Linked DNA regions of Caenorhabditis elegans. The protein of the gene in region 3 interacts with the protein of the main gene of each other region in a pairwise test. Each region holds a gene or a part of one and is shown on either strand. Other genes may lie near its edges.

Region 1 (7,367 bases), on a different chromosome or scaffold from region 3:
AAAAAAATCCGAATTTTAAAGTTTTTCAAATAAATTTCTTTCAGATCTTTGTCTGCGGTCGTTTCATCGGTGGATACACTGAGCTGGATGCTCTCCGCAACTCTGGACACCTCTTCGAAGCAATTGCTCAGTGCACGGGAGAGAATTCGCCGAAAGAATAAACTTTTTCACCATTTCCAAAAAAAAAGTTTTTCTTCAGTTTTTGTCTAAATTTTATTGTAGTTGAAGGTTTTCACACCTACCACGATTTATGTGTATTAAATTTTTTTTGTTTCTGAAAAGATTTGTTTCCAATAAACTTCTATTTCTTCTTTGTGTATCGTAATTCCGCAAGATTTTGGCATGCCTTCTTAAAGGCGCATGGATTTATTAAGATGTGTCTCGGCGCGCAACAATTTATGGTAGTTGTTTTTTTTCTGCTGATTCGATCATGCTTCAACGAAATTACTTCGCTTTTAACAAAAAGCTTTTTTTTTGTTAAAAATGTGCATTTGAAGGCTAAAATAATGGGAAACTGATATATTACGGAACCAAATAATCCTGAGAATGCGTATTGAACAACATAGTTGACGCGCAAAATATCTTTGAATGACTACTGTAACGCTTGTGTCGATTTACGGCCTCGATTTTCGAATTGAATTAAAATATTTTATTTATCGATAATTAAATTATTTCAATTAATTTCAAAAATCGAGCCCGTAAATCGGCGAAAGCGCTACAGTAGTCATTTAAAGAATTACTGTAGAATTTGCTAAGAGATATTTTGCGCGTCAAATGTGTTGCGCAATATGCATTCTCAGAATTGTTTGTTCCCGTAATAAAGCATTTTAAACGGAAAAATGAAAACAAAACATAAAATTTTCTAAAGACGAGGTAATTTCAATGAAGAATGCAAGGAATTAAGGAAAGTAAACTTGGAGGCAGCCGAAAAATTTAAACAATGGCTATTTACCATGAACCTTTTCTCGTGCCAAGACACTTCTGAATAAATGCTTGCTCCTTTAAAAATGCATGTCAAAGTCTTATGATTGAGTTTAGCGGTTATTTAGCGGCATTGAAAATCAATTTATTCGATATCAAAAGAGCGAAAGAAAAAAAAAGATGACAAGGATTGAGAGAGAGAAAGAAATCTACAAGTTGACTAGAAAAAATTGAAAATCCGTACTTCGAATCATGTTCATATAATCGTAATTATCCAGATGTTTGGCGATATCGTCTTTTCGTGGGGTTTTATCACAATCTACAAGGGGATGGCTAGAAAGAAGAAATACCATTTAAAGAGACAACGGGAGGGGGGGGGGGGGGGGGGGGGAAAGGTTTAGACCTCCTCGACCTTTTCAGCATTCTCGACGTCTTGATTCATGCTTCCATATCCACCATCAATGCTTGCCTAAATCGTTGTTCTATTTTCAACAACCATCAATTCATTTCCTCATCTTCAACCTTACCTTTATAAAACTATTTGCTGTCTCTGCTTGATGGCTTGATGAGTATCCCTGTTGTTGATCAGGCAGTACAAAGTGACTGACTTGTGGAAAGGGTTGAGTTTGAACTGGATCTACAATAACTTCAACTTCCGGATGAACCATTGGCTGGTATTGCATATATTGTTGTGGTGGTGGTGGTCCATACATATACTGAACTCCTTGAGGTCTTCGGTAATCTTGTGGCATGTACCGAATTGGACGAGCGTACTGTTGTGGTTGAACTACTGGTTGAGGTACATACTCATAGTAGGTTCCTCCCGGGGAGCACATTCCAGGCTCTTGGTAGTTTGATGATGGCATTGACATTTCTTCGAATACCTGATAGCCTGTATAGTTGGAGGTTGGAGGTTGTTGGATGTGAGCGTGGTGGTGGTGGTGATGAACCATCACTGATGGAGGTGTTCCACAAACTACTGGCACACTTTGCTCGTAACAGCCATGTGATATTCCGTTTGCCATTCCTCCGAAGCTCTCTGCTTTCTGGAAAATTTAGAGGTTAGAGTTTGAGAAGCGTTTTTTGCGCCCACGGCATGTGATCTTAAATTTTTCGAAACTCGGAAACTTATGGAAACTTATGAAATGTATGAGAGATACTCGTAAATCGACATGGCTGAAGCTCACAGATATTGACGGCCACACGTTCAATCTCAATCATATATTGATTCAAAATCTTGTAGCTTAGCGATCGTGAGAAAGTAAAACTCGACGCTGTTTCTTTTTTGAAAAATCGATTTTTCAGGCGAACTCTGATACTCACCCTCATCATTGGATGTTTTCCAGTGCACAAATAACTATTATTGGAGCAATCAAATGATCTTTGCGGTGCCCATTGATGTCCCTGTGGTCCACTCATTGGTGCAGTAACCATTGATTGTTGTGGGCAGTTGAGTGAAAGTTGTCGCATCGGAAGACCTCGAACATGATGTGGAGATTGAGGTTGAATAACTGATGGTCCAGTGACTGCTGCCACGTCAAATGATTGTGCCCTTCGCATCATGAGTAGATCATGATTAAGACTTGCTTGACTTCCATATTGACTCGTCGAATGATCACCGAATGATTCCATATGGTGAAGTTCCTTGCGGGATCCGCAAGTGTTTTGTCGTTTCAGTCGGTCTTCTACGTAATTATCGTGCCGGATGTAGTCGGTGAAGTTGTCATCAGGACTGGAAATTTGTTACTTTTCTAGTTAAAATCTGACAAGACCAAATAAAGGGGCTAAACTAAAACAGACAAAATATTATGATTTTCATGATACATACATCCGAAAATTAATCAACTCACATTTTGGTTTTCTCTGACTTGTTCACAACAATATCGGTCTGCTTATTCGTAACATTATGATCAAGACCAAACCACGCGGCACACCTGTGAAGAAGCATTCGGTGATAGGATGATGGAAGCTCGAATCTTTTCGATTGTGTGCTGAAAATTATCAATTTCAGACTGAAATTTTAACAAAAACGAACCTATCATCTAAAATAAGTTCTTTGAGTTGTTTTTCGAACTCCAGAAGCTGCTTCCGATCTTCTTCACTCTTGTGTAACGTGCGATCCACAAAATTCCTTAGATCAATGCCACTTCTGTCCGAGTACTCGGTTCCTGTGGACTCTCTGCTTAACGATTTCGATGTGGACCACAGTTTATTCTGTGCGAGACCCGGTGGGCGGAGTTTTGACACGTCACTGCTTTCTGCTGGCTTCTCCTCTTCTTTGCCTTCTTCTGGATGCTCTTCTATGCATGGGACCGTAGTATCCGAGTTTTCTGATGGGCTATCAGAAATTGACAGGAGAGATATTGGCTAAAAATTAAAAAATTTCAGTCGAAAACGACCAGATTTTGTCTATAAACTTACAAACATTCTTCGAAATTGGGTGAAAAATATGAATTTCAGCAGACTTCCTAACAGGAACTATTTCAGTTTTCAGCGCGGCCTATGACACAAAATCGGATCATCCTCTGATGATTCACAAGAGAGTGAGCTGATCAATATGATAATAAAATAATGTATTCTCCAAGCAGCCGACATTTTACGGGTTAGTGATAACTTTTAGCCGGCTTCAAGAAGTTGTGTACCTTAGCAGCATACACCATACGGGACAAGAACTACATCAGCAACGGCACCCATATTCGAAGTCCGACACTTCGCGGGACAATTTCCCACCTTCCCTTGAAATTGCTCACCTCTTCAATTGTTGCATTCTGTTTTGAAAGTCGTCTTCGAACACTTCCATTCCTCCGAACTCCCTCACTTTCTGTAGCTGGCACCGTCGTCACATTCATTGTCATTATTACCGTAGTCGATCGTCGCCGATCATCTTGTTTTGCGTCTTCAACATCGTCAAGCTCTGAATTATTCTCTTCTGAAACGTCGTTTTCGGTTGACATTTACACCTGAAAATTTGGTTTTTGTTGGAAGCACAGAAAAAGCAGAGGATGAGAATTTAAAAAAATAGGATTCAAGAAGTAGTACTACCAAAAAAGAGCAGAGTTTGCATGAAAATGGAGCAGTGGGTAAGCTTCAGCTGCTTTAGAGTCTCCGCCCACGAATGTCCTTCTCCCCCATTCAATGCTAAGCCCCGCCTTTTGAGAACCAAAAAACGAGACGAAATTTCGCAATAAAAAACATAAAAATGAATATAAATACATAATAGGCCTATTTTTTGAAAAGGTATAATAGTTCGAATAAGAAAAAGAAGAAGGTATTTAAAAATTAAAAGAATTTCCAAGCTTTTATCTATGCAGAGATAAGAGATACCAAATAAATGTAAACAAAGAAATCTGAGGTGAAGCAGAGGTTCAAAGAAAACGTGGAGGAAGCAAGAAGGGAGGAAGTTAAAGCCCGTTATAATTCAATTTGCGGGTGTTTCTTGCGTATTCTTGCAATAAAAATAAAAATTCTATTGCGAGTAATTCAAAAAAAAATTCGGTATTTCCACTTTTATGTATCTTCTCGTCTAATTGTAAGTTACATAACGTCAATTTTACAACTGTGGGTCTTGTAACGGAATCTCTCGTTTATTATAGCTTAAAAGTGCATTGAAACATGAAAATTAACATTTCAAACTGAACTCCAGTCTTCGCGGTGGGACCCAAAATTTGTTGAACCTAGGCAAAATTAGTAGCTTATAGAGTTCAAAAAATTAAATTTAAAATGACTCTTCGAATTACAGTAATCTAGTTTTTCCAATCATGTCCTACTTCCTACCGTATGACAACTTTATCACCAATTTTCTATGAAACAGGCAACTAAATAAGCATGAATTAACAACTAAATATCACTGATAATATGCAGTTTCCATCCATTTTCTCAAACATTTCCAATTATTTCTGCGAAAAGCTCAAAATCAGATCAAAATCATTTTCAAGGGGGATTTGTAGGGGATTAGAAACTGCCAAATAATGTGTTTTTGTGGTGGCTCACGGGTGGGAGTGCTCATCTTGAATAATAATGGGTGGGAGGAAATTGAGGTGAGGTTTCCTAACGGAAATTGACTTTTAGAACTTTTTCGGTATGAATCTCTGGAAAATATAGTGCAAACGTAGTTCTACATCCAAAAACTTGATAACTTGAAAGAATTGTAAAATTCTTAGAATTTTTATTTGAAAATTATAAATCTCTTTTGAAAACTTTCAATAAAAAGATACTAACGAGCGGAATTCAGAATACCGTATTTCTTCTATTAATATGGCCTCCCTATTAGACTTGCACTCCCTATTAGTATTGCACCTTTGAATTTTGAGATTTTTACAACATTTTTTGCCTACTTTGCAACAAATTTTTGGTAAAATTTCTATGGAATTGAAGTTATTGTACCTTTTTGTTGCAATTGCAATCAAATTTTCTGAATTTTTACATAAGATACGAGTTTTTTTCAGAAAAAAATAGTAAGCTCAAAGTCAGAAAAATGTTCTGAAAATTAGTATTGCACTCCCTAATAGTCTTGCACTCCCTATTAGTATTGCAAGCGGGAAGACCATCGAAAAATAGTATTGCAGCCATATTAATAGAAGAAATACGGTAGTTTACTTTTGGTTAGATAAATAATATTTTTTTGCAAAGTTCAAATATATGTTTTCTCCATTTGGCTATGTTGTAAACTCTATACTAAAAGTATAAACTAACTCGAAATTTTCATTTCTCACTATCAGAACATGAATAAATTTATCCACTCTATCTTTGAGACACAGAGTTTCATACTTGTATTCTATTATCGACAAAAAGAGCCTATGCAGATGTTTTTTCTTCGTCTACATTCAGCTTTGTTTCATACAAATGACGTTAACAATGTGCCCAACGAGAGAAATGGAAAAAGTGAAGAGACACAGGAAAGCAGGTGGAAATGGAATCTGAAAATGAAACAGGTTGAGGCTCAGAGTAATTGAAAAATTATAGAATTTGGGGAAATTTTTTTTTCCGTCAAAAATTCGAAAAAGGAGCCCAAAAAAGCATTTTAAAAAAAGTTTAACTATCATCTTCCAAAAATAGCAAGAATCGTGATAAATGTTAAAGCATTGGGAAATGTTTCAGATCATGTTAAATTCAAATAAATCTGATGTTATTCGACTCAATGAGGTCATTGAACGAGAAATAAGAAAACTACGTGCATCAATGAATTCTGCATGATTAAATCCTCCACGTGATCGTCATAGTGCTTTTTGGAAGGAATATTTGATGTCGACAGTAGGCCTCTAATTCAGATCCAGAGTAAAGGTTAGAAAAAGTAGTCAAATTACCGCTGATTCATGATTGCCAAGTTTCTCGAGTTTGGAATTTTGGGTTGCCGAATAGTTTCCGATCTTCAATTATTCCTAGAACATCAATAAACTCAAAGAATAAAAATTTCGTAAGCGGATCCCGGTGATCATTTCTCAGGTGAGTGAGCAATTATTTCGTGAGTCATGTGATCTCTACTCGGGGTACATAGAACGTCTTTAGTTTGGTTTCGGCAAATCGGCAAGGACTTCAGACTTGGAATTCGGCAAACGTTTCAGTTCGGCACTTCGGCAACCGATTTGAAACCTATGACTCATAGGAAATATTTTCTCAAATGCTCATAAATCAAAAATGATCCATTTTGATCCCCCTCCTTCTCTTCCGCCACTTTTTATTTTCTTGAACTCGTTCTTTTCACTTTCTATCCGTTTTTCTTTCCCTTTTTATGTTCTTCTGCCATTTTCTGTTATTTCCTCCTCTTCTTTACCTTTTTTTTTCTAAACAACTCATGAAAAAACTACATAGTAAATATGAAATAGGGATTTACCCTTGACACCATAGAAACACAAACACAACAAGAGAAATTGCTCAGGGCTTGGGTTGGGTTTTTGGTTACCAAAATAAGAAAGTTGAAATTTCAACTCTAGAATATCGGCTACTAAGTTTTAAAACAAACTTGAAGTGAGAAATTTGACAATTTCATATTTAAGAATTGCCGAAAATCAGTAACTTGCCAAAGTAGTCAAAATTGATTTTCAGCTATCGATAAATTAATTTCAGAAATTTCCGAAATTATCAAAAAGTTGCCAAAATTTTCTTAAAGCTCAAAACAATTTGCAGAAAGAAAAGAAAAGCTTAGGGATTAGCAAGAATTGAATGTGTTGAGAAAGTGTGTGTCCCACCAAAAATCAAATAGGATTTTCAGATCAAAAGTATCAAAAAAAGCCCTTCTTGCAAAATTAAAAGTTATTATAAAAGAGCAAATTTAAAAAAAGAAAAATTAATAAAAATGATGTTTGAATATTGAAAAGAAATATTCATTAAAAATAAATTTAATAGCAAAATCTGGAAGAGTCTCGACGAACAAGGTGCAGATGGAGCCTATATTGATCTACTGGAAGAGTGTTATAAAAATTGTACCACAAATTTTACCCCATTCCACA
Region 2 (7,971 bases), on a different chromosome or scaffold from region 3:
GGCTTCTGCTGGGTTAGCTGGAATTGCATTTCTTCTTCAATCAATTCTCTTTCTTCTTGTTTACCGTTGGTTGAGACAAAGTGATGTTGATAAGGTTTGACATGTCTAACAGTATGAAGCTCTACTGTCTAGTTTCAGAAAGATTCCACAGCTGTACCATCCGTGAAGTCCACCAGTGACCCCAAAGTGGATACTGAAAGTTCACATGCCAGTGTGCACCCGACAGAGTCAGTTACAACAGTTACTGAAGGAACTAACTATGAATTGGCAAAAACTCCGAAAACTCCAGCAAAGAGAGCATCAAGGGCTTCATTTGACACACTTGACGTTGTACCAAAATGGTGATTGATGTTTATGCAAACTTCCAATTGTCGGTACCTTATTTTCATGTTTGTATAGAATTATAAAGTGTTTTATTTCAATTCAGACAGTTTTATGGTGTTACTTTTTTGAAGACCTATGCTCTCCTTTTCGCTCGAAAAAAGCTTCTGAGAATATCACTGCGAATAGATATTTTATTAACTTTTTCAGAAAATTTACTAAAATTTAGTCAGACATTAAAAAAACGATCAAGCAAATAATTTGTTCGCTTATTAAAAACTCCCACCTCCAATTCCAATGACGTCATGACTTTTCAAATAGTAGCCGAGCAGCTTCCATTTCCTTCCATTTCATTTCTTATCAGTGCCAAATTGAATGATTTATTATCTTAATGCGGCGATGGCTTGTAACCAACGCCCCGTTTTTACATTTTTCAACTACCATCGGTAGACCGAATTTATACAATTTTAAATTTAAATTGATTTTAAAACTGAATCTATTTTAGACTTTTCTGCCTACCAGGCAAATTTGCCTGAAGTTATGTAATGCCTTGATGTTTTGCCTTTTTCGTATATCGTTTTTGTTACCTTTAGATGACACGTCTCGTACTTCTCCTATTTGTTCCGGCACTGCTCGCCTTCGATTCATCATTCAATTACGGATGCCAAAATGGACAATGTACCTTCCAACTTGTGGTTCCCAAGGTGACACATTTTCAATACATTTTCACATAGTACTGAAATTCTCAAATTGAAATCGTTCAGGAAGTGGCTCAAGCTATCGATGAACAAACCCTGAACAATGAAGTTGCAACTATTGCTTCAAGTCTCTCAAAATTGGATTCCACAATTTTGAAATTTAATGACACCGGTGCATGTGCCTTCACAAAAGTAAATTTGTGCCAATTAAGCTTTTCTAGACTATTGAGCAATTGATTTCAGGGTTTTAATGCGAACTTCACAGTGGTCAATGCAACTGGTCAGAGCTTGAATGATAATGTTCAAGTTGCTAGTAATAATGCATCAGGTAAATAGGCAGGAAGTCTGTACTGTAGTTTAAAAGTTTTAAGTTAATGCATATATTTTTGGAGTTCGTAAATTTTTCTGACCAGGTGTGCTCTTAAATTCAATTCTCACATTTGAAATTTCCCGTATTCCATTTTATTTCCAGACCTACTTACCGCATCAGCAAACGCCAACACAACCGCCACATTGCTTTACAACTCAATTTCTTGCTTCCAACAAAATGTAAACTCCAGCTACACATGCTTCTCACCTCCAAGCACTATTGCTCCGTCTACCATTGCTCCATCCACAACTGCCAGCGATGTCTCCACTGTAAACCCTGTGACTGACAACGGAAGTACCGTGTCTCAAGGAACTCAGCCGACTGGTGGAAGTACTGCTGCTCCAGTGAGTACTGATGCACCAGGTTCTACTGTCTCTGGAGCAACCGATGCATCCGTTGCATCCACAGCTGGTGGAGATACTACTGCAAGTGGAGCTTCTGTGGTATCAACCGCTGCTTCTTCCGAGGCCTCTACCGCCGCACCTGAAGCTTCTTCCGCTGCCGCTACTGTAATCAGCGGCAAGCCAGTTTAGGAACTCTTAGATTTCTCAGAACCACATCCTGATCGTCAGCTCGCAGAATTTCATGATGTAATAAAACCCCTTAATGGAATAAATTCGATGAGGCTGTGATTCTGAAAAATCGCCCAATTTTATTCATTATTGCGAATAAACATATTTCATTTCAAATCCATTTTTTGAGAGGGTACAGTGTGAAAATTTACAACTGAAAAATGGCCATTGCTCAGTTTTACCACTCCTATGTTTGGGAGTCGACTCTAAATTATTCAAATATTAAACAAAAAAACCAAAAATTTCAAAACCAAAAATTTCAAAACTTGAAATTTACTGAAACAATGACTGAAACATTTCTATGCTTAGATGCTAGATGAGTAGAACTTATTACACAGTTAAATTTTTTATTGAGCTTAATTTTATCTCCATAAATTAGTCAATAGAATGATTGCCTAAAAGATCCAATGAATAATCGATAATATTGATTGGTTTGCATTGTTGATCTGCGATGAACTGCTTGAAAAGTCCCTTATTCAATGCATCCACAAATCGTTGCATAGTCTGAAATGTTACAATAATCGAAGCCTGATTTTGAAACGAGCTCCAAGAGCAGCAGCTCTACCTGTTGCCTAATCGAAAGAGTAAGATCATCTTTGACATCATACGAAATCATTCGAATCCCATGAATAAAAAACGCGGTGTGTAGAAAAGTTTGGAAGAACTCGGCAGTTTGTTCAGCTTCGTTTTTCTTGGCGAGCACTTTCTTTTTGGTTTTCCAAATTTTCAGCATTATATCCATAATGTCATGCTGGTCACAAACAAATGGGAATACAGAGAGAAGTGGGTCAGATATAAATTCTGAAATTAGTTCAAAATATTGTTTGGGTGGGTATGAAATCCTACCAGCACTCAATGGATTCCGATTGTCCCGAATTAAAATGGTTCCAGCTCGTCGGCGGTAAAAGTGGAAGAATGGTAAATAAAGAGCATTGAATACTATGACATCGGGGAGGGAGCTGGAAAAATAATTTGGGTTGAACTTAAAGTCAGGTCAGGGATCCAGATTTTCAGCTTTCTTAGTTTCCAAAACTCACTCCACATATGAAACCTTATCCTTGGGAACATCCATCACTTGAACCAGAACTCTTCTTTTCGAAGCTTCCGGCAACTTCATTTTTGTCATCACTTCATCATCCAAATACAAAACATTCGTTCTACTTGGCACTGCTTTATCATCAATTATCAGTCGCAGATATGTATGTCCCAAACTCTTTTCCTCAATTCCTATTTGTGTCTTCACCAAATGAGATGCTTCCACAACAAGTACCACTGTCGGAGATCGATAGTTTGAGCGGAGAACAAAATCAGAAAACTCGATGCAGCTTCTCGTCTGGCTCTCTTTTTTCTCAAAGTACCACGTTGAAGATTTGACACGTGGCACAAGAGTGTGCACGTTGCTCACAATTTGAGTGGATTTTGGATTTGTGATGTCGACAAGAGCCATTCTGACAAGTGCCTTGTGTTCGATTAGGGGCATCTTTTCAAATCGAACTAGACGGATAATTTTTGATATATGGACAGTTCGCTTGTAAACCTGCAAAAAATATAGTTGATTTATGAAAGTGAGCAAAAAATGTGTTGCTATGAGTAGCAAATGATTCATAGTAAAAATTTTTAAAGCAATTTTCTCAGCCGTTTTTAGGAAGACTCAGAGGTTTTTTGGCAAAACTGTAGCATTTTTTGGGTAGAAACTGCAAGTTTTAAACTTTTACCTGATCCTTGTAATGACTCCAAAAAAGATCATGAAATCCAATATTTGAAGTTGATAGTCTCGGAGCCATATGGCACACTAGTGACAAGTGAGTGTCATTGTCATATGCTTTACCAAGACAGTCATCAACTCGAGATGCCTGCCGGTTTGCTTCTCGTCTTGATGGATCAGTAGTCGTAGATATTCCGATCACCGAATCTCGAACTCCGAGGCGACTAGACACTTTTGATGGCTGAAAATTTCTACTTATTAAACTAACGATACTAGAGAAAAGTAACAAACCACATTCTTCGGCTTTTCCTTAACATGTTGTAAATAAGTCTTTGGCACAAGACCCCTCTGACCATATTCATCCAGTGCAGTCCACCAACCATCGGATCTTGTCTGTGTGATTCGATACTTCTTTCCTTTGATTAACTCCAAATCCCCTTCAGCTTCTGCATCCCAACTGTCAATTGCAACAAAAACATTGCCACGGACTACAACTGGTTCCATAACTTCTCCAGAATCTCCACGACTCGGATTCTGAAGCCTTGAGATGACTTCATCAAGTTCTTGACGTTCATTCAAAGTCTTTGATTCAAGAGGTTTTGTAATTGTGATAGGTTGTCTGGGTTTTGGTTGAGGTTGCTGGTGCTGTTGCTGTGGAGGCTGTGGCTGACTCGGAAGAGGATCATCCAGCTGAACATCCGTCTCAATAATTTCTGAATCATTATCAGAATCTTCTGATTCATCATCGTTATACATTGTGCTTTTTCGGCGGCCAATTGCAGCCATTTTCGGTTTTTCTTCTTCTGATTGAGAGTCCACACTGGAATTGAATATTTAACTATTTATTAGAGAAATTGAATTTAATTATAATTTTACCTGACAGAAAACGATAATTGCTCCTTTTCCGGGCTCAAAGCTGTCAATCTTTGCTTCAACTTGTCAAGTTGCTCTAGAGCGTTTTCTTTCTTGTAGGTCTCGTCAGTTTTGGCCTTTTCAATTCGATTTCGGTGATCGTCGAGCTGCAAACTGTATGCATATGTTGATATCCTTGAATGATACTTCTACGTAGGCACGAGAATGCCTACCTACCAGAGTGCCTACGGTCTACACATATGCCTAACAATTTTTCAATGTTTGTAAACAATTAATTGAAATTAAATAGAAAGTTGGTCGACCTAAAATCTATGAATCAAACCGGAGATCCCATAATGGGCGGTAGGTAGGCCCGTAGGCAGCCAGGCATAAGGCAGATAGAGAAAATGCAATTTTTACCTGTCTATGCAATTCCTGGCACTGTCTGACAAAATGTTTGCGAAAACTTGCTCTCGACGCGGCTTCGGTGTCTTTTTGCTCTTTTTCGAGGCGATTTATCTGAAAAAAAGGCTTTTGCTATTTTTCCTTGAAAATACGGTTTACGGTCTAGACACGACAATTTTTGTCGAATGCGAAAAGTTGTGTGCCTTTAAAGAGTACTGTAATTCCAAACTTTCGTTGCAGAGGAATTTTTTAGTTTTTTAATAGTTTTTAGATGAAAATATGTACATTAAATTTAAAAAAAATTCTGGAATTTTGAATTACAGTACTCTTTAAAGACGCACACCTTTCCGCATTTAACAAAAATCTGTTGTGACGAGACTCAGTTTTAATTATACGTTTGAAATTTAATTAAAACGTTGAAAATGCGCCCCACTGCAACTTTTTGGGTATTGAAGGGATTTTTTTAGTTGGAAATGAACAATAAACCACGAATTCAATTTTTAGTTATTTAATAATGTGTAATGGAAAAATTAAAAAATTCACAATAATAATTTTTAAATAAATTACAAAAAAATCCAAAAATTGAAAAAAATCGAATTCCTTTTCAAATTCGTGTTAACAATTAATATTCCCCACCTGATATTCAAACTGCGGAAATCGATTTATGGCATCCTGCAGACTTAGAATGCTTCCAAATATGGACATCCTGCTTTCCTCTCCCCCTGGAAAGCTCTTTTCCGCGCGGCCACTTGCCTTAAGCCACCCTCGTTGCCCCTGGCAACTTGCGGGTTACCACCTGCCAGCTCCCCGCAAATGTGGTTAAAAACTGGTGAACTGATGGTTTATTAGTAAGGAAATCGAGAGAGAGCAGATAAATATGCAATTTTGTGGGGTCACTCGGTCAGTTAATTACGGGGGAAGAAGCTTCAACATTGAGAGAACGACACTTGGAATGAATGAATTAAAAACGGACTGTACAAAGAACACGCGGGATGATTTGGGATATATCTTAAAACTATATGGAATCACTAATTAAAAAATGAAATAAAATAAATTATGATTGAATATTAATTTGTTCGATGACATCATATACAGAAGTCTGAAGTCCCCAGTACGTCCTGCACAAGTCGTAGAGTCCCGTTTTCAACCCATTTGTGACGTAGGCAATTGTCACTCGATTCTTGAGATCTGTGATGACCATTTGGCATCCGTGCCCGGTATGTCCGAAGCCGAATTGAGTCTGAAAATATGGCGAATTATGAAAGAAAAATATTAAAAAAATTCACTGAAAATTAAATAAAAAAACGCTCCTAACATTTTGCAGGTTCTTTAGCTAAATTTAGGGTTTTAAATATTTTTTCTATGCATTTTCATTTTTTGAATGAATTCGAAATTAATGGTTTTTCAACAATTTCTCCTGTTTTTTCGTTTTCTGTTCACCACCTGGGCTCTTTTTTTTTGGTCCTTTGCTAATTTTTTGGGGGTTTCAAAATTTTTTTTTTTTTGCTTTTTTCGGCAGTTGTAATTTTATTACAAAAATGGATTTTTCAGTCTTTTTTAATGCAAAAATTAATTTTTGGCTGTTTATGTTTTATGTTTATTTATTTAATTTATTTTTAATTTTGTTAATTTTTGTTATTTTTGTTAATTTTTGTTAATTTTTGTTAATTTATGTTTATTTAGCAAAAAGGTACTTTTCGGGTTTTTTTGAGAAAAATTGATTTTTTTGAATTTTTTATGGGAAAAAGGACAGTGGTTTTTTTTTTCGCAAAAATGGATTTTTTAAAAGTTTTTTTTGGCAAAAATTAAAAAATCTGCTTTATTGGATGAATTTTGACTTTTTCGTTCTTTAAGAGTTTTTTCAGACTTTTGTTGGTTTTTTTGGTTTTTTTATTGTGAAAATGGATTTTTTAAAATTTTTCAGTTCAAAATTTCCATCATCCCTCGTCCCTCTTTCGATTATTCAAAATCTCACCCCAGCTCTATGAATGGGCAAATGGAAAAATCCGTGTCCCTTGGCGACAGTATCATCAAAAATGAAATCACTCTCGTTGACGAACGGTTTGCTTATCGTGTTCAGTGTAGCCTGATTGAGAAGTTTTCCTCGATTTACCTGAAACAATCCTCTTAACTATCGTTTTTGTTTCAGTTTTTTTAAACAGTCACAAGGAAATTTCCTTTTTCTTTTTTTTTGTTCGACTTAAAAATTTCTTTTCTTCGCTATCAGCCTAGTTTCAGCTGATAACGATGTTCAAACAAAACGAAAAAAAACTTAAAATTCTCATAAATTTATCAAAAAAACGAGAACAAACCTTGTCAAAAAGTGAGGCAAGAGAACGAGCATTTCCCATTCCAAGTGCGGCAGCTTGCTCCAATCTGGAAAAAAAACATGAATTTTAAAAAATGAAATAGCATAAAATATTGGTCAGATGCGAGATTTTGTCTCAAAACTATGACAATAGGTCTCGAAGCGACTTTTAAGGAGTACGGCAGTTTCTGAATTCTCATTTTAAAACATTTCATTTATTTTTTTATACTTTCACATGCAACATCGTAAAAAATCCAAAAAGAAGCGAGGATTTGGAAACTACAGTAATCCTTAAATTTTGGCATTGGAGAAAATCGGCCGCTTCGAGACCTGGTAGTGTATTTTTTGGGGGAAAATAGCAAAGTTTCGGATCTGGGTAACAGAATTTTTTGCGTAAATATACAAAAATTTGCTCGAAACTACCGAATTTCATAATGCGACATTACACAAAAAAAGCCAAAACTTTTATGGAGTGTAAATATTTTAAAACTTCGAAAAAAGAACCGAATTTTGCTGAAATCTGAATTTTAGCCAATAGTTTTTAATGAAATATAGCGGAATTGAAAATGTTTCGTTTTTTTTTTTTTTTTTCCGTTTTTTCCGATTCGATTTTACGAAAAATATCTTAAAATGCTGGTTATTTGTATTTGTTTAAGAATAAATTTATATGTTTCCTCATGTATTTTCCATCAAATTTGACTTTTTTTAACGTGAATTTTATGATTAATTTTCTGAACACA
Region 3 (7,181 bases):
TTCCGAAAATTTTCAAGTCAAAACTGAAATTTGAAACTTTATTTTAAATATGGGAGCAATGTGAAAATCTGCTTAATTTGGTAGTGTTAGCTAACAAAAGTCTTAAATTTGAAAAATCTTCAAGACATTTCAAAAAGTTTGCCTATAAAAAAAATCTGAAAGAAAAACTAATTTTGTGTCTTAAAATTAGTAAAATAATTTTCTGGAAAATTTTCAGATCGACATTTTTTTTCAGTTTAATAAACATCAATTTTTGAGATACTTTTTTTGCAGGGCCTATTTAACAAGTTTTTTTCTGACGATCTCAAAAAACTATGGAAAAACAGACTGGAAATCAGAAATTCAAAACATTTAAGGGGAAGCCTCATATTCATAAATTCTTAAATGCCCACAAAAACAGGAAAATCGGATTCAATCATTATAATAAACATTTTGACATATTCTTCAGGATTACATAGGATTAAGGACTAATACAAAAAGAAATGCATGTTGGGTGATCTCATTTCACCACGCTATCCGTTCAAAGTACTTTTTTGCTCGGCAGCACGTGCATTCAAGGAGAACATTTGATATTTTAGCCGTTGGTAATAAGTGTGTGTATTCGAAAATATTCGGGAAGCCAAATAAATAATTCTGAATTATTTGGGGGCTTAGCCTGGAAAAACAAATCGATCAGAAAGTCAAATTAGATTAACAACATCATAATTTTAACAGGATTAAATACATATTTGCTGAAAAATTAGGAGAATGTGATAAGGTCAAACTAAATAATTTATTGAGATGTTTCGAAAATTTTTATTACAAATTGGAATTAATAACGAAGATGTTGAAAGCACTTTTTATACTTTTGAAATACTCAAAATGACTTTTAAAGAATTTTGTTGCTTTTTAAAAAATGATATGGCGATTTGAAACTTAGAAACAGTTGAAATTTGAGATTACTAAGAAAAAATTGATATATTAAAAATTTATGTACGTAAATCAACAGCTGAGTTGAGAATTATTTTTCCAAAAACTTTTTTTCCAAAACAGAATCAAAGGTGAGCAATTTTCCTTTACAGACCGGACTTGAATTTTTTTTAAACATTTCAAGTATTATCATTATGCAAATTTGGTTTTTGAGATCATTTTGCGTACTTTGTAGTAATAAAAAAACATTGAAGGTGAATTGAATAACATTTTCTCGAGATAGGAAAATCAATCAAAAATCGTACTTTTCAACTACTCTATTTCGAATTTTATTAAAATTCTGGAATTCCATGACAAACAAGGCAAAGTTGAAACAATAAAATTCAGCGAAAATTGACACTTGTGTTTACACTGAATTCTTGAGAATGGACGTCATAGAAATGTGTATTCGTTTCCGAAAATGTCCAAAAACAAAGCAGAAAATTGTTGTGAAATTATTTAACAAATAATTTGAAAGTTACAATTTTAATGAAAAAAAAATTTCATTGAAATGATCACCTAAACTAAACAGAGATAAGGGAAAAACTACATTTGGAGTTATAAAAACATGTTATTTTATACTTTGGAAAGGTGCAATTCTCAGGATTGACGTAAGTATTTTTTGGTGTCTGAGAAAAAAAAACCAACTAATAGAAACAGCAATCAAAAATCGTCTCAAAATAGAGCACACGTTCTAAAAACTGTCATTTCTCTCGAAAACAAGATCCAGAATACTTTTTCATCTCCGAACACAAGCCCCGATAGTTTTTCGCGGTTGTTTGCACTATTCCCACATGATTGAAAGTACACTAACAAGATTTTGCCAAGCAAAACCCCACAGTCTCATAAGAAATTGAAGATCAGGATTTAAAAAAAGAACTAAAAAATACTCACGTTTGATTTGAAGTCGAAAATCGAATGGGTCGCAATGTCGTGTTGTTTAATTGGCTGCTGCTGATACTGTGGACGGTAGTGATTATGTTGCTCTTTCCCAAGGTAGGACTGGTGGTTTTGATGATTTTGCAGTGGTTGATGATTCTGATTCTGAACCGAATGCACTTGAATATGACGGATTGGCGGTGTCGGCGACGAGTGCTGATATGTGCTGCCCATGTCCACGTGAATGACTGGTTTGGCACGAAACACCGCGCTCCGTGGACTCATATTGCCATTGGTTTGCGGTACAGCTTTAGCGGTCGCCGCAACTGGTACATGCTCGTTGTATTTGACGGTTGTGGTCGAGAGTTGCACAACGGGAGTGCCTGGTCGTTTTTCGAATTCTGTGATCCGAGAGGCAACACTTCCGGTCGAGGGCACCGGGAAGTTCGGTCCGTTTCGATACATGGTTCGCGAAATTTGATAGCCAGGAGTATGAATTCCAGCTAAATGAAGTTGTTCTTTCACATTATGCTTCGGTTTTGGATGCGGAAGTCCTGTTGGAATCTGATACACTGAAGAGCTCTCGCTGACCTCATCTGTTGGGGATGGAGAGTGCAGCTTCCGGTGAAGTGACAAAGCAGGAGACTTAGACACCTCAATTGGTGGGGGACTAAAAGCGTGTTCACCTGTTGGAAATCTACCGCAACCTCCAACTCGTCGGTTTAGAGAATCATTGTGAACAACAGGTGCAGGTGACACGGATCCAAATGTTGTTCCGCCAAATGTATTTCCACGAACAGTTCTTGAGAGTTCATTTACAGCATTATCCAGTTCATTGAAACTTGGAATTAGGAAAGAATTTGACGGAAAAGCTGGATTCAATGGAGTTCTCGGCTTCTCGGTGTATTCGACGGATGGTTCTCTCATCAGCTCAGCTTTTCTTGCAGCAACTCCTTGACCACTGCCAACTCTCTGAGTAAACCTTTTTTCAGTGTCGATTGGTTCTTGTAACATTTGAAGTCGTTCTGCTGCTGTTAAACTTGTTGGAATTCTCTGAATTGTTGGCGAAGAAGGTCTCGAGCTGATGGTTTGACTCCAGAAATTATCCAATGCTCCGGATTTTCTTTGTTCTGGAGCTTCAGCTGCTCTTCGTTCAACCGCTCTTCCAAGAAGCGAACTATTCATTTCATAGTTACTTGAAGACTTTGAAATTGGCAGCTGTGCTCCACGTCGTGGCAAAGTCATTGACCCAGTGGTCGTAAAAGCGGATGGACTCAACAAGTCATCGCTTTCCAAATTTTGAAACCGATTCTGCAACTGTTCAAACGATTTGCTCCATTCTGATGTGCTTCGACTCATGTTGTCATCAAGGAGACGTTGAGCAATAATATCCAACTGATCCGTGTCGTGAAACACGGGTTGACGAAAACCTCCGGACGACGCACTTGAGGCGAGTGCGGGTACTCCGTTGTTGTAAAATTGATGAGATGAAGAGGAAGATGGCGGCGGCGGCGGCGGTGGATGACGATGAAACTCAGATCGATTTTCGAACGGGTGCGCCTGTTGCTGCTGCTGTTGCAATGACGACTCTCGTGGAAGTGGCAGAGGAGGACCACCAAGCGAACTTGAGTGCTGATATTGATGCGGGGTAGAGTTGTGGTATTCGCGATGAAAAGTAGAAGTTACCGGACCGTTCGAGGTGAAGGTTGTTTGCACTCTTTGTTGAGACGGATATCCGTTTCCGTTTGGAACCACGTTTTGATAAACCGAAGTTGTCGATCGAACACCGTTTGGGACTTCTTGGCGAATTGAATACTCAATTAGTGGAAAGTTAGATTCGGACGATTGATAGGTATACGATCGTGTCGGTGGAGCCCGATCCGTGTGAATTCTGTCGATATAGGCTTGCACGGCTGGTGAGTTTTGCACAGAGTGCTGTGCAGACGGGTAACGAGAGAGTAAGTCGAGAAGTGCAGAGCCACTGGCTGGCGATCTTTCGCGAAGGTGTTCCGAGAAGGAAGAGGGTACTGACAGGTTATGTGACGAGTGGTACTCTGAATGTGACGACCAGGGCGTGGTTGAAGCTGGTCTTCGTTGTTGGGACGGAAAGTTCACTTCAGCAGTACGAAGTGGTCCTTGATTCCACGGCTCTGGAATGTGATCCTCCGAGATTGTTCTCGGCTGATGTTGAAACGCTGATCTTCGATTATCGGCCGACTGCGACCGGAAACGAGTAGTTTGGGGGTCGTTTTCAGCACCAAACGTGGTTGTAGTGGCCAAACCACTGCCTCCGTACCGTAACGATTCCGATGGAAACTGCACTGACGAGGACGACGGCTGGTTGAATCTTGCGAAGTAGTCGTCGTCAAGATGGTACATTTACCCTTTGCTCTCGCAAGTACTGAAAGATGTCCGAAATTGGAAGAGAGATTAAAAGAATGGCGGGGGAAGAACAAAGAAACGAGATATTTTGCAGGACAACTGTTGAGTAGGTGGCAGCAAGTTGGAGCAAAAATGCACAAAAACATGGAAAAACGCAACAAATCAAACAAACTTGAGAGGCAGAGTGAGAGGTAACAAAGGAAAAAAGATAGGATCATAATCAAATTTAATAGAGGAAGGAGGATTGATTCATAATGAGAGGAAAAATACTACTTAAAAAATTTTTTATTTGCATTGCATTTTTTATTTATAAAATGAACTTGAACCCACTGGTAACTTAAAATAGAATTATATAATAGATCAGTATCTAGCAGGTAGCAATTAGTGGGAAAACATAGATTGAAATGAAAGTGCGAAAAAGAAGAAGAATAGGAGTGGCCTGAACCAGCAGAAACTGCAGATTGAAGTGATTAGTAATAGTAACAACTTTTCCTTTAGGAGGAGCGACATATTTTGTAAGAAGATTTGGAAAAGAAGATGTGATGAAAGAATGAACGATAGATGGTGATGATGATGAGAATTCTGAACATTAATTCTACGAAAAAGGTTGAAAGAGCTCTTAGAGCGGAGTTTTTAAGCTAAAAAACCAAAACCACTATTCAAAAATCTAGATCCTAAAAAACTAGAAAAGCGGATACGAAAAAAAGTGGGAGGATAAAAGATGAAACGATGATCAAGCGAAAAAAGACAGGTAGTAGTGAGCGAGTGCAACCAGAACGTCGGCGGTAAAAAAGAAAAAGAGACGAAGCAGCAAGAAGAGAAAATGAAAAAGCAGAAAAAGAAGAAGAAGAAGAAGCTGAATGGTCTAGAAGCCAATAAATTGCGAGCCCCTCGAGAAGACTTTCGAGGCGAAAGCGGCGACGAGCCGATAGAACACTGGTATTGTTACAGCGGGTAGACGGGGCTCCCGGCGAGAGCGAGGGAGAGAAAGAGATGGAGTATATATTTTCTCGAGGAGAGACGGAATACGTTTTTGCTTTCATTTCAGAGGTCCGTCCTTCTACACTTCGACGACCCCCGACAGCTGTCGCTAGATCGCCTGCTCTTTTTCTCTCACTCTCTCGATGTATCATTATCGGGCACTCGTCAAGTGCAATCCGTGGTCACCTAATCATCATTCCTTTTACGTTTCACTATTTTTATATTGAACGGGAGAAATATTAAAAGCGAAGTTTAGGAATGGAAGATGACGGCGGCTGAAAAATGACTGAAAAAAGGAATTGATCCTATGGAGTTCCAAAGCAAGTTTCATTTTGTTCAGTAAAAAACTTTCTGGAGGACATAGTTTATGAGACTGAGTTATCCTGGAAACAATGCAACAATCTAAAGAATAAAAGCAATCATAATCAAGAGCGAATATATTTACAAAATTTGGTACTTGTGCATTAAAACCCCGCATTTTTAAAATTAATTAAACTTCCATTTATCTTCCGATTCTGATAAAACGTGATGTTCATTTTCCCTGTTTAGGCTTAGAAATGATTAAATGTTTATAAGCCGAAAAATACAAAAACTCGACACGTTTTTATTTAAAAATTCATTTTTAATATGAGGGATTAGAATACAAGTACCTAAAATCTTATTTCAAATTTTTGCAAATTTTTGTCATTTTTTTTCAAAATTTCAGTGGAATTCTTCTTAAAAACAAATCTAGCTGAAAAAAAATTTGAAAAAATTCGATATCATTTTGTTAGGAGTTCATAGGATACATTTTCCAAATATCTAAATATTTATTAGAGAAGCAAGTATGATTTTTTGGCAGCACTCAACGATTTTTCTGTTTGGAGTTGAAATTATTGTTGAAAGATTCTCGATTTTCCAGGGTTTCTAGGATTTCAAGCAAAATCTTTCAAATAAATCTTTTTTCCAAAAAACTGACAGTCAGATTTGAATAAAATCTATCGAAGTTTGTTTCTGAAATCTAAAATCTAAATTTCATAATTTTTTTTCATTTTTTCTCCAGAAATCAACAAATTAAAAATCTTGTTCATTTTAATTTTCAGGAAAAAAATATCAAAAATGCTGCTCCGGATAGAAATTATCTTAAATGGTATCAAAAAGAAAAATTCAAAAAATTTCAATTTACTTTTTTAAAATCAAATTAAAAACGACCATTTTATAATATCCCGGCAAGTAAAGTTGAAAATTTTCAAAAAGAATTTGATACTAAGAACTAGGACTTGTTATAAATCTTTGAGAAAAAAGAATGCCACCAAAAAAAAAGAAAACAAATAATGAAAACAAGTCTAAAAGTTATGTGATTGCTACTATGATTATGATTATGTGATAGAGTAGGACAAAAGCAGGGAGAAACAGAGAAAGACGGCTCATGCTCTATATAAAGTTTATTTTGGAGCGAAGCCAAAGATAATTACACGTTTCTTTTCCTAACTCTACAAATTGAAGCCTTTTTGACCAATGATGATATCAGTGTCAATGAAAAACAGTTGTCAAGTACAAGAGGGGAAGGATATGAAATCTTTTATTTTAGGTTTTTTTCAAATTTAAATAACAATCAAGGATTTGATAACAGTGATATCATGAAATAAGTTCAAGTGTTCTAGAAATGAGCTGGGTTTACATAAACAGGTGCAAACTCGAAGTCTGACTTAATTTCCCAAAAGTTTTTGAACGCGGGAAGAAATTGGAGAAACATCAATAAAAACATCAAAATTGTTTTACAAGGAGATGCTTCTTGTTATTGAAAAAGGAAAAGCCGTATTGCACAGCGCAGATTTTATACACTCATTTTAATTTATATTTACCCTACGTTATTTTAAGAATTAAAATTATTTGAAAAAACATATTGGGAAAATATTTTTTTTCGTGTGAAACTGAACTCAAAAATTTTCAAATGCTTCATAGCCATTCTCACAGGAACTTTAGAGTACAACGGTTTCTTTTCATTATAT
Region 4 (7,726 bases), about 15 Mb from region 3:
GGAGGTAAAACTCCCCGAGCTTACAACAAACGAAGAAATAGCAAGGAATAACAACAGGTGCTCTCCAGTGTTTGTTCTCAGTGTTTGTCAGTTGGTGTGGTTGCAAGTAATTTCGAGAAGATCTTTGGTCAAAATTTGTGAGATTTCAAATTGAGTGCTACTTCTTGCATTAGAGTTAGGAATATATTTTGAAATCGTGTTCTTTTTTGTAGTGAAAATTGAGTTTTCACAGCACAACTGAAACTAATAGTTTAATGCTCGTATGTACAAGATCTGATTGTGAAAATTGTCAACCTGGAGTATGCTTTTCAACTATTTGTTTGCTACCAGATGTTTCACATGATTTTTTACTTTACAGGGTGGACCATAATTATGCGCACTCGTTTCTAGCCTATTTACTGTAGTTTTTTACGCGACTGCCACGTCATGTCTCAAATTTTTTAATTTATTCTGGTTGCCGGGATGATTATCTTCCATTTGACATAAAATTTAATATGTTTCTCAACAAGATGCACTCTCCACAACCACGACAATCTGAAGCACCCCTCTACCAAAGTGGTGTTTTGGCGGAGAGCCTGTACCACCGGCCAATATTCCAAAAAATTTTGATTTTCAGCATTAATATGAAGTTTAAGTAGCTGTGAACCAGTTACGTATGTTTTGAATCAGCAAAAGTGGTTATGCGCCAACACTGATGGATATAATGATGGATAATAGTGTGTGTTTTAAAGACCGTCCCATTAGTTCGCATCACTTTTTTCTGTTCCACGAGACACACCGATCCGCAAAATCATCTATGAGCAAATTCGTAAGAAAATATGAAACCTTGGGTAAAAATAATAACTAAAAACACAAATATGATTTTCTTAGCATGTCAGTGCTTCCGCGCACAAGCTTCGTTTAGGCCTTGACTGAATTTCACAGTACTCGATACTCAATCAGCTGCCACTGTCACCTAACAATATCAATCTTTTAGATTTTTTGTGTGAAGCATCTCTGAATCAAGAGCATTCTTTGAACTTTAAATTTTACTTGATAACTAATGAGTCCTCCGAGAAAAACATGAAAAACCCTGAAGCGTGCCTACTTGTCCGCCATCGTTGGTGCGTTTCCGAAACTTGTGAAGGCCTGTAGCAATGCGGACGGTGATATTTTCGAATTCAAAAATGGTATCTTATTTAGTTTTTCTCGGAGAACAAAACCTATATGATTATTTGTTTAATGTGTTTTTTGTTTTGGTTTTATGAAGCTTCAAAGTAGTGCGCATAATTATGGCCCACCCTGTATTAAAAAACGGAACTTTTCCAAACAAATCTGAAGCATCTGTTTTAAAATTGAATCCGTGACTACTATTTTGCCTAATGACAGTATTTAAATTTCACAAAAAAGATCTATGAGAAGATATGTATATTTTCAAATCAGTTACCAATCATCTTTTCTTAAATCTATTTCGAACTTTTCTTTTATTCTAGTTCCACTCCAAATCTTAAAGAATCGGCAATTCTTTATCAATCATCCAGACAACAATATAATACTACCCTCTACAAGTATCTGGGTAGACATAATACAAATTCACAAGGAGAAGCGAGTTGAAATATAACAAGAGTGGATAAAGGGTTAATGAACAAGAATAACATACAATATAGTCTACAAGTAATAGATATAAATTGGTACAATCATTGATCTCTGGGTGGGTCAAAAATAGATTCCAGCCAATCCCGTTTTACATTCAAGTATTTGATAGGATCCGATTTCCGAAGATGTGCAAGTAAACACGCATCAGCAATTGCGATGATATTCTTCTGTCCGATACACTCCTTCCACAACATGTAGAGCATATTGGTGGAGTCTGTGGAGCTGCTCGTATCGTCCAGCCGAGCCTGAACAAACGTGGCAGCAATCTCTTGCATAACTGCAAGCTGGTGAGGATTTCCTAAGCAGGCTTCAGCAAAACGGAGGAACCATTTTCTGAACATATTTCGCACAGGTGGAACTCTTGGATCTGAAAAAATTAAAGTTTTCAAGATTAAATATGTCTTATCTTTCTTACCATCGGCATAAGGACCATCCAATCTTGGAATTGTCTCGGTGCAAAAATAATTCAAGTACAGCCATCTTTCAGGTGACATCCCGTGAATATTCAAATTCACTTTCAGGAGTTGTGTCTTTTCTTTGTAGTTAGTATCAATGTAGTCGTTAAAGTCTTGCTGAGCTTCCAGGAATGCTGTCAAGCTTTCAGAAATGCGAGGTGGTGGCGAGGTTGAAGCTGGATCTTGAGTGCAATCTTGAGAAGGATATTCGATCCGATCGGCTGATTCACAAGGAAGTGGAGCCGGATCACTGAAAGAAATTTACTGTACTCAGAAAATAATTTTACAGGATTTGAATCAAGTTTTGAGCTCAATCTTTTCAGCTTGTACATTATTTTCCATATGCTTGATCGATAGCGGATTTATTAACTTGGACCTTACCTGGTGATTTCGAAGGGCCATTTCCCAGCTTGATTGTATACTTCAGCTGCACGAATTTCACAATTGATTCCACTTCTCTTCGGAGTTGGGCAACCATTACAATCCGTGGAAACTGGAATTCCGGTAATGTAAGAGCTGGAAAAGAAAATATGGAAATGTTGTTCGTTTTTTGTAAAGTCATACCTTTCCAGCGCCACAACCTTTGGAGTCAACTTTTGAGCAATTCGCTTTCCTGAAGCTGTTTCTTTTCCAGAAACTGTGACGGAATACATTGGTGATTTTGTAGCTTTAGAATCAACCACGCCAAGTGACTTGTTCAACTTTGAAGACCTGTAAAAAATATAATGAAATAAGAAGCTCCAAGTGTAAAACTAACTTGCTGGATGATGTCAGACATCTTTCTCCGATCAAAGCCTTTGGAGTTGGGATGATTGACGAGGAAGGTGTTCTCTTTACATCCACATTGTTCCGATTGATCTGATCCTTGCTGAAATTTAAATTTTTACTAAAGATTTTACTATTTCACTACATACCTTGAGGAAGCACGATTTGCAGATTTCGGCATCTCAGGGTCCCCATGAAGTAAACGTCTCATTTCCTCAACGTTGGCATCAAAAGTTCCTGTCCACTTTCTTCTTGAGATCTTTGGAGGAGAACTCGGCTGTGGACTTGGCGTGGGTTCCTCGTCTTCTTCAACAGTTTCCAGTGTCACATCAAGACTGGCCAGACGGGAGGCACTACGAGAACTTCCACGGCGCTTGATCGACAGTGAAGTTTTCTTGGGAAGACTCACTGGTAGGGTTTGGTTGTTAGCATCCACAAAACTGGAGTCAAAGTCTTCACCAATTGAGCAATTTAGATCACTTGCTGGTAATGTCCGATTCAAATTGCTGCATTCTCCATGAGAGCTGGAAGGCAAGTGAATCTGTTGTCCGATCTTCATGCTGACAATTTCCAATAACTGTTCAATGGAGAGTTCAGTGCCGTCCTTGCTGAATACATTGGATACCAGGTTACGTTTAGCCGCTTCTTCAGAAGATTTGCATTTTTCAGTCAATTGTTTACTGCCTGCATTCTGCTTTGAATAAGTCGATTGTTGAAGTTTCTTAGTGACTGATCGAGATCTCCGACCACGGGCAGCATCCATGGAATCGTCTATGAACACATCGTCAGTTAATTCATCGTCATTTGTGTTGAAGTAAGTACGATCCTGGAAGTTGCTGCTACCACGTGATTTTTTTCTGTCGTTTCTTGATTTCTGTTGTTGATTTTTCATCGATGAGGTTTCATGTGTAGGAAATCCAGAGAAGCTCTGGTTCAAATTCCGCGACTTAATAGCATCGTGCTTTTGGACAAGACTAGAATTGATAACCTCCTTTCCAGATGCATTTTTATTGTCCTTATGGCCTTTTTTAAAAGCGTGTCCATGAACTCCAGCTTGAGCGTTGAAGCTTTTATTTCCAAGACATTGCTGGTGAACATTGGTTTGTCGCAGTTTCTTAGAATTATTTTCTTGCTTCTGGAACCCAACGGGAACGGAACTCACACTGAATGACTTATTCCCAGCGTGACCATAATTGTTCGAACCATCCGAGAAGCTTAGGCCATGTTGTCCATTCTGACGACTTCTACTACGTCTTGTGTTTGATTGCTGAACGTCGTCCTGATCTGTGGATACTGGGAATCTTCGTTCATACCAGCTGGAGCTATTGCGTGTTTGCAAGTTGCGGCGGAAGTCTGCAGAGAAGACGGGGGCCGTAGGAGGAATACTGTTAAAGGCGTTGCTGCCGTTTCCTTGAGCTGCATGCATCGACTGATTGAATACTCGACCATGTCGAGTCATCGAGTGATTCAGCTGTTGGCCATTCATGAATGTATTCCCGTTGAATGATACGGATCCGTGATGAGATATCCCCGATTTTGCACCATATTCACGGCTTGTTGACTGAGCACTGTCTTGTTTTGCGATCGGATTGAACAATTCGTCAAGAGTGATTTGGTGTTCCATGTTGTTGGATGCACTTTCCTGATTGCTACGACTACTTGAGCGGCGACCTGAATTTACAAATTGAATGAAAAATTGATGCAAAAAACTCTCACCTCCTCTTTTTCTTCTCGAGTTTGGCAGACCGCTTGGGTAAGGTTTTGAGGAACTCATACCTGCAAAAATCAAAACTTAATGAAATATTGAAATAAATGAAATTTAAAAAAATACAACGAAAAAGAAAGACAGAGATGAAAAAATGCAAACCGGTGGGACCACGCAACAAGAATGAACACTTGAGTTAGGGAGATTGAGAGAGTGTGAGAGGTAGAGAAAGAGCGCGCGGAAATAGTGTGTGGCGAGACGGACAGGGGCGATGCGTGCGCGCGGTGAAAAAATAGTTCAAATGCGGCAGGGAATCAACAAAACAACACACACCGTTTGCATGGTATCGATCAGTTTTCAAGACTATCCAAGACTATGGAGTTTTGAGGAACAATTGGATTGATAGTTAATTCTCTAAAATATTGGATAATCACTGAATAATAAATGAGAAGAATAAATTTATAAAAAGAAACAGGATAATAGGCAGTAAAGGAGATGTTAATTAGAAAACCTGTAAGCGAAAAATCAAAACTAAAATAATTTTTTATCTCAAACTTTTTAAAAGAAACGGCGGAACATAATCCTGAATTCCTGAAAACGAGATGTAAAGGGTCGTTAAAATAGCTCCAAAAACGGATTTGTGCAGAGTTTTGAAATTTTTTAAAATTATTTTAATATAGGAATACTAAGTACCTGGAAAGTAATAAAAACTGCTTTATATAGAACATTGAAATCTTTTGTTTTTTAACATAAATTTTAAAAAATGTTTGGATATCCCAAACTAATAAGGATTCTTAACATTATTAATTCATAAAAATATGAAAAAATGTCTATTCAAAGGATTTTTTTTGATCGAAGACTTCTAAAAAGTTACAAAAACTGAGAATCTTCAAGTAGAAATTTGGTATTCCTTGGGACTTCAGATTATTCATATTTTATTTTTCAAATTATTCTCGATGGTTTTTTAATTTAAAAAACAACTCATCGACATTGATGCTTTCAAACAGGATAGATCTAATGTTACTAATTTCCTGCTACTATAGCTACTGCTACATTGTGCACAATGTATGATGTCACACACTTGGAGGATTTATAACCACTTTCTATGTATCGATTATACCATTTAGACGCTCGCCTGCTCCGTTAGTCTGCTCAGTGTTTTTTTTTTTCGATTACATATTTGAGTTACCATTTGGTATGAGCTCCTTTATTTCACAACTCTCCTCATTTATTTGTCTGAGATTTTTTAAACGTCGAGGTATCAGGACCCCGTCAAACAAGGCAAGAACATATGTATTTTACAGTTTTTCGTTTAATTTTATTGATTTTTTAGATTCAACCCTTTCACCTACTTGGTTTACCGTATCCTGCATTTCGGAATATTATACATCAATTGAAGTTGACTGAAGTGTGAGTTGAAGTAGGTTTTAATTATCTAAATGTCTATTGTTTTCAGAATAGAACTATCAAAAAATTCTGGTGAAACCAGATGTAGATTTAAAAAAAATTAATCGAAAAATCTACAAACTTCTTATCGACAACCGTGTTTTCCATGTTGATCTACCACCATTCCGAAATCCTAGTGATTTATTTTCAAGCAAAGTGATTGCTATAGAGACTTCAGAAGACATGTATTATCCTTTTAAGTCTGGTAAACTACTGACTTTAAGATATCCAAACCTTTTTTCAATCAGCATTACCAACTTTTGCATCTCTACGTTTTGGTAATTTTTTGATTTTTCTGCTAGTTTTTTCTCAAACATGTGTGATTTGTTTAGTCTGAATGACCTTAAACATTTGAAAACTTTCAAAAAGTTTTTACCTAACCATGTTTTAACATTTCACGGTAGTTCAAAAATTTTAGACCGGAGGGGTTGCTCAGTCGGTAGTGATGACCAGGCAGTGTACCTGACTCTCAGTTCCGCAGTGCATAGCACTTAAGTCGAGATCGTTTTTTAATCTTCAATTAATATAAACCCCAAGTAAATAAAACTCTACTGAAACAATTCTCATGCATCGCCATATAAAACTGTAATTTTTTCAGTGACTATTCGAAATTTAAAAAATTCAATACAATGAGCTACGACCAACCGAATCAGTTGATCGAAATTTTGAATTCTATTGACCAATTATTTTTTTGTTGAAAACCTCGATTTACTGATCAGCCATGAGAAGTTATTCGGCGATTATCGGCCAACACTAAGTCATCCAATGTTCAATAAATGCAAATGTGTGGAAATTTTTGGTGGTCCAAATGAAAATTTATCAACCAGTAATATGAACGAGTTGACGACAATGATTGAGTTGAAACAAAAACTTAACATTCAATGCTTTTTCGAAAATAAAGAGTTGGTAAGGAAGTTGCAAAAAATCCCAATTACTTATAATCATATTTCATTTCAGATCTACAATGTTCCTGAGATAGAATTTTACCACGCCAAAAATATCACACTACAAGATTTAAGATCAATGAATTGTGAAGTGATCAGATTATGTGTACATTCAATCAAAGAATTGGATCTAAACAACATAGTATTGTATTGGTTAAATGGAAAATTGCCGAACCTCCGAAGACTACGGTTGCACAGCAGAATGAGTCCCATTATGTATGAAAAAATCCTGAAAGGTATTAAAAACTATACATGGCATCCGAAACGTCGACCTAAAATCTATTGGTAAGTTATTTGATTTTTTTATTGTGCTTAATTTTTTACTACCACAAAATGGCGAACTTAGGGATTTCAGTCACACATAATTTGGCCTTTTTTCAAACATTTAATCCGGCTTGTAATTCCTTTAGTATTTCACAAAAATACTCCATGTAAAATTTCTGACATCTGGAAAAAAAGCTTTGTGATTTTTTAAAACAAATTTTTAAAGCAATTTTGTTTTCAATAGTCCATTTTCCATCTTTTAATACTGAATTGAAAAAGGTTTTGCAAAGCAATGGGATATGAAAATATATCCAGACTACTACCTAATAAATACCACACGTCGTATTCAATTTTCAGCAATGAAATCGAACGATTAGACTGTGAAAGTGGAAGAGATATCGTGAGCAACAACGGAACAGTAGCAACACTCCTGCTGTTCAATCGCTCTTTTGATTTTATTGTTTGGAAAAACTGAAGTATATATAAAAACAATATCTGTGTCGTAGATTTGA

What was found.
Region 1: the proteins of F43B10.1 (region 3) and ZK121.2 interact in a two-hybrid assay, tested with the Caenorhabditis elegans proteins (one large-scale study listed by BioGRID).
Region 2: the proteins of F43B10.1 (region 3) and nphp-1 interact in a two-hybrid assay, tested with the Caenorhabditis elegans proteins (one large-scale study listed by BioGRID).
Region 4: the proteins of F43B10.1 (region 3) and meg-3 interact in a two-hybrid assay, tested with the Caenorhabditis elegans proteins (one large-scale study listed by BioGRID).

The regions. Positions count from the first base shown.
Region 1 is NC_003281.10:5,338,198-5,345,564, reverse strand, and holds ZK121.2 (R3H domain-containing protein), read right to left. Parts: upstream 3,884-7,367; 5' UTR 3,876-3,883; coding exon 3,672-3,875; intron 3,289-3,671; coding exon 2,957-3,288; intron 2,913-2,956; coding exon 2,772-2,912; intron 2,654-2,771; coding exon 2,245-2,653; intron 1,968-2,244; coding exon 1,449-1,967; intron 1,391-1,448; coding exon 1,319-1,390; 3' UTR 1,306-1,318; downstream 1-1,305. Other genes in the region: glrx-21 (Glutaredoxin domain-containing protein), read left to right, coding at 45-161.
Region 2 is NC_003280.10:10,646,602-10,654,572, forward strand, and holds nphp-1 (Nephrocystin-1-like protein), read right to left. Parts: upstream 5,656-7,971; 5' UTR 5,629-5,655; coding exon 5,560-5,628; intron 5,038-5,559; coding exon 4,939-5,037; intron 4,686-4,938; coding exon 4,543-4,685; intron 4,487-4,542; coding exon 3,958-4,486; intron 3,908-3,957; coding exon 3,677-3,907; intron 3,499-3,676; coding exon 2,999-3,498; intron 2,921-2,998; coding exon 2,808-2,920; intron 2,763-2,807; coding exon 2,527-2,762; intron 2,466-2,526; coding exon 2,337-2,465; 3' UTR 2,292-2,336; downstream 1-2,291. Other genes in the region: M28.4 (Protein tweety homolog), read left to right, coding at 1-94, 139-345; M28.10 (Flo11 domain-containing protein), read left to right, coding at 915-1,025, 1,086-1,211, 1,263-1,347, 1,492-1,922; lact-3 (Beta-lactamase-related domain-containing protein), read right to left, coding at 5,978-6,163, 6,899-7,036, 7,236-7,299. UniProt on the Caenorhabditis elegans protein: Plays a role in the extension of dendrites from phasmid ciliated sensory neurons. May be necessary for initial assembly of the cilium.
Region 3 is NC_003284.9:16,650,278-16,657,458, forward strand, and holds the start of F43B10.1 (EF-hand domain-containing protein), read right to left. Parts: upstream 4,235-7,181; 5' UTR 4,207-4,234; coding exon 1,843-4,206; intron 1-1,842.
Region 4 is NC_003284.9:1,984,977-1,992,702, forward strand, and holds meg-3 (uncharacterized protein), read right to left. Parts: upstream 4,632-7,726; 5' UTR 4,630-4,631; coding exon 4,572-4,629; intron 4,527-4,571; coding exon 3,005-4,526; intron 2,959-3,004; coding exon 2,848-2,958; intron 2,802-2,847; coding exon 2,655-2,801; intron 2,607-2,654; coding exon 2,472-2,606; intron 2,341-2,471; coding exon 2,051-2,340; intron 2,003-2,050; coding exon 1,677-2,002; 3' UTR 1,493-1,676; downstream 1-1,492. Other genes in the region: Y40A1A.2 (F-box domain-containing protein), read left to right, coding at 5,758-5,841, 5,894-5,970, 6,017-6,071.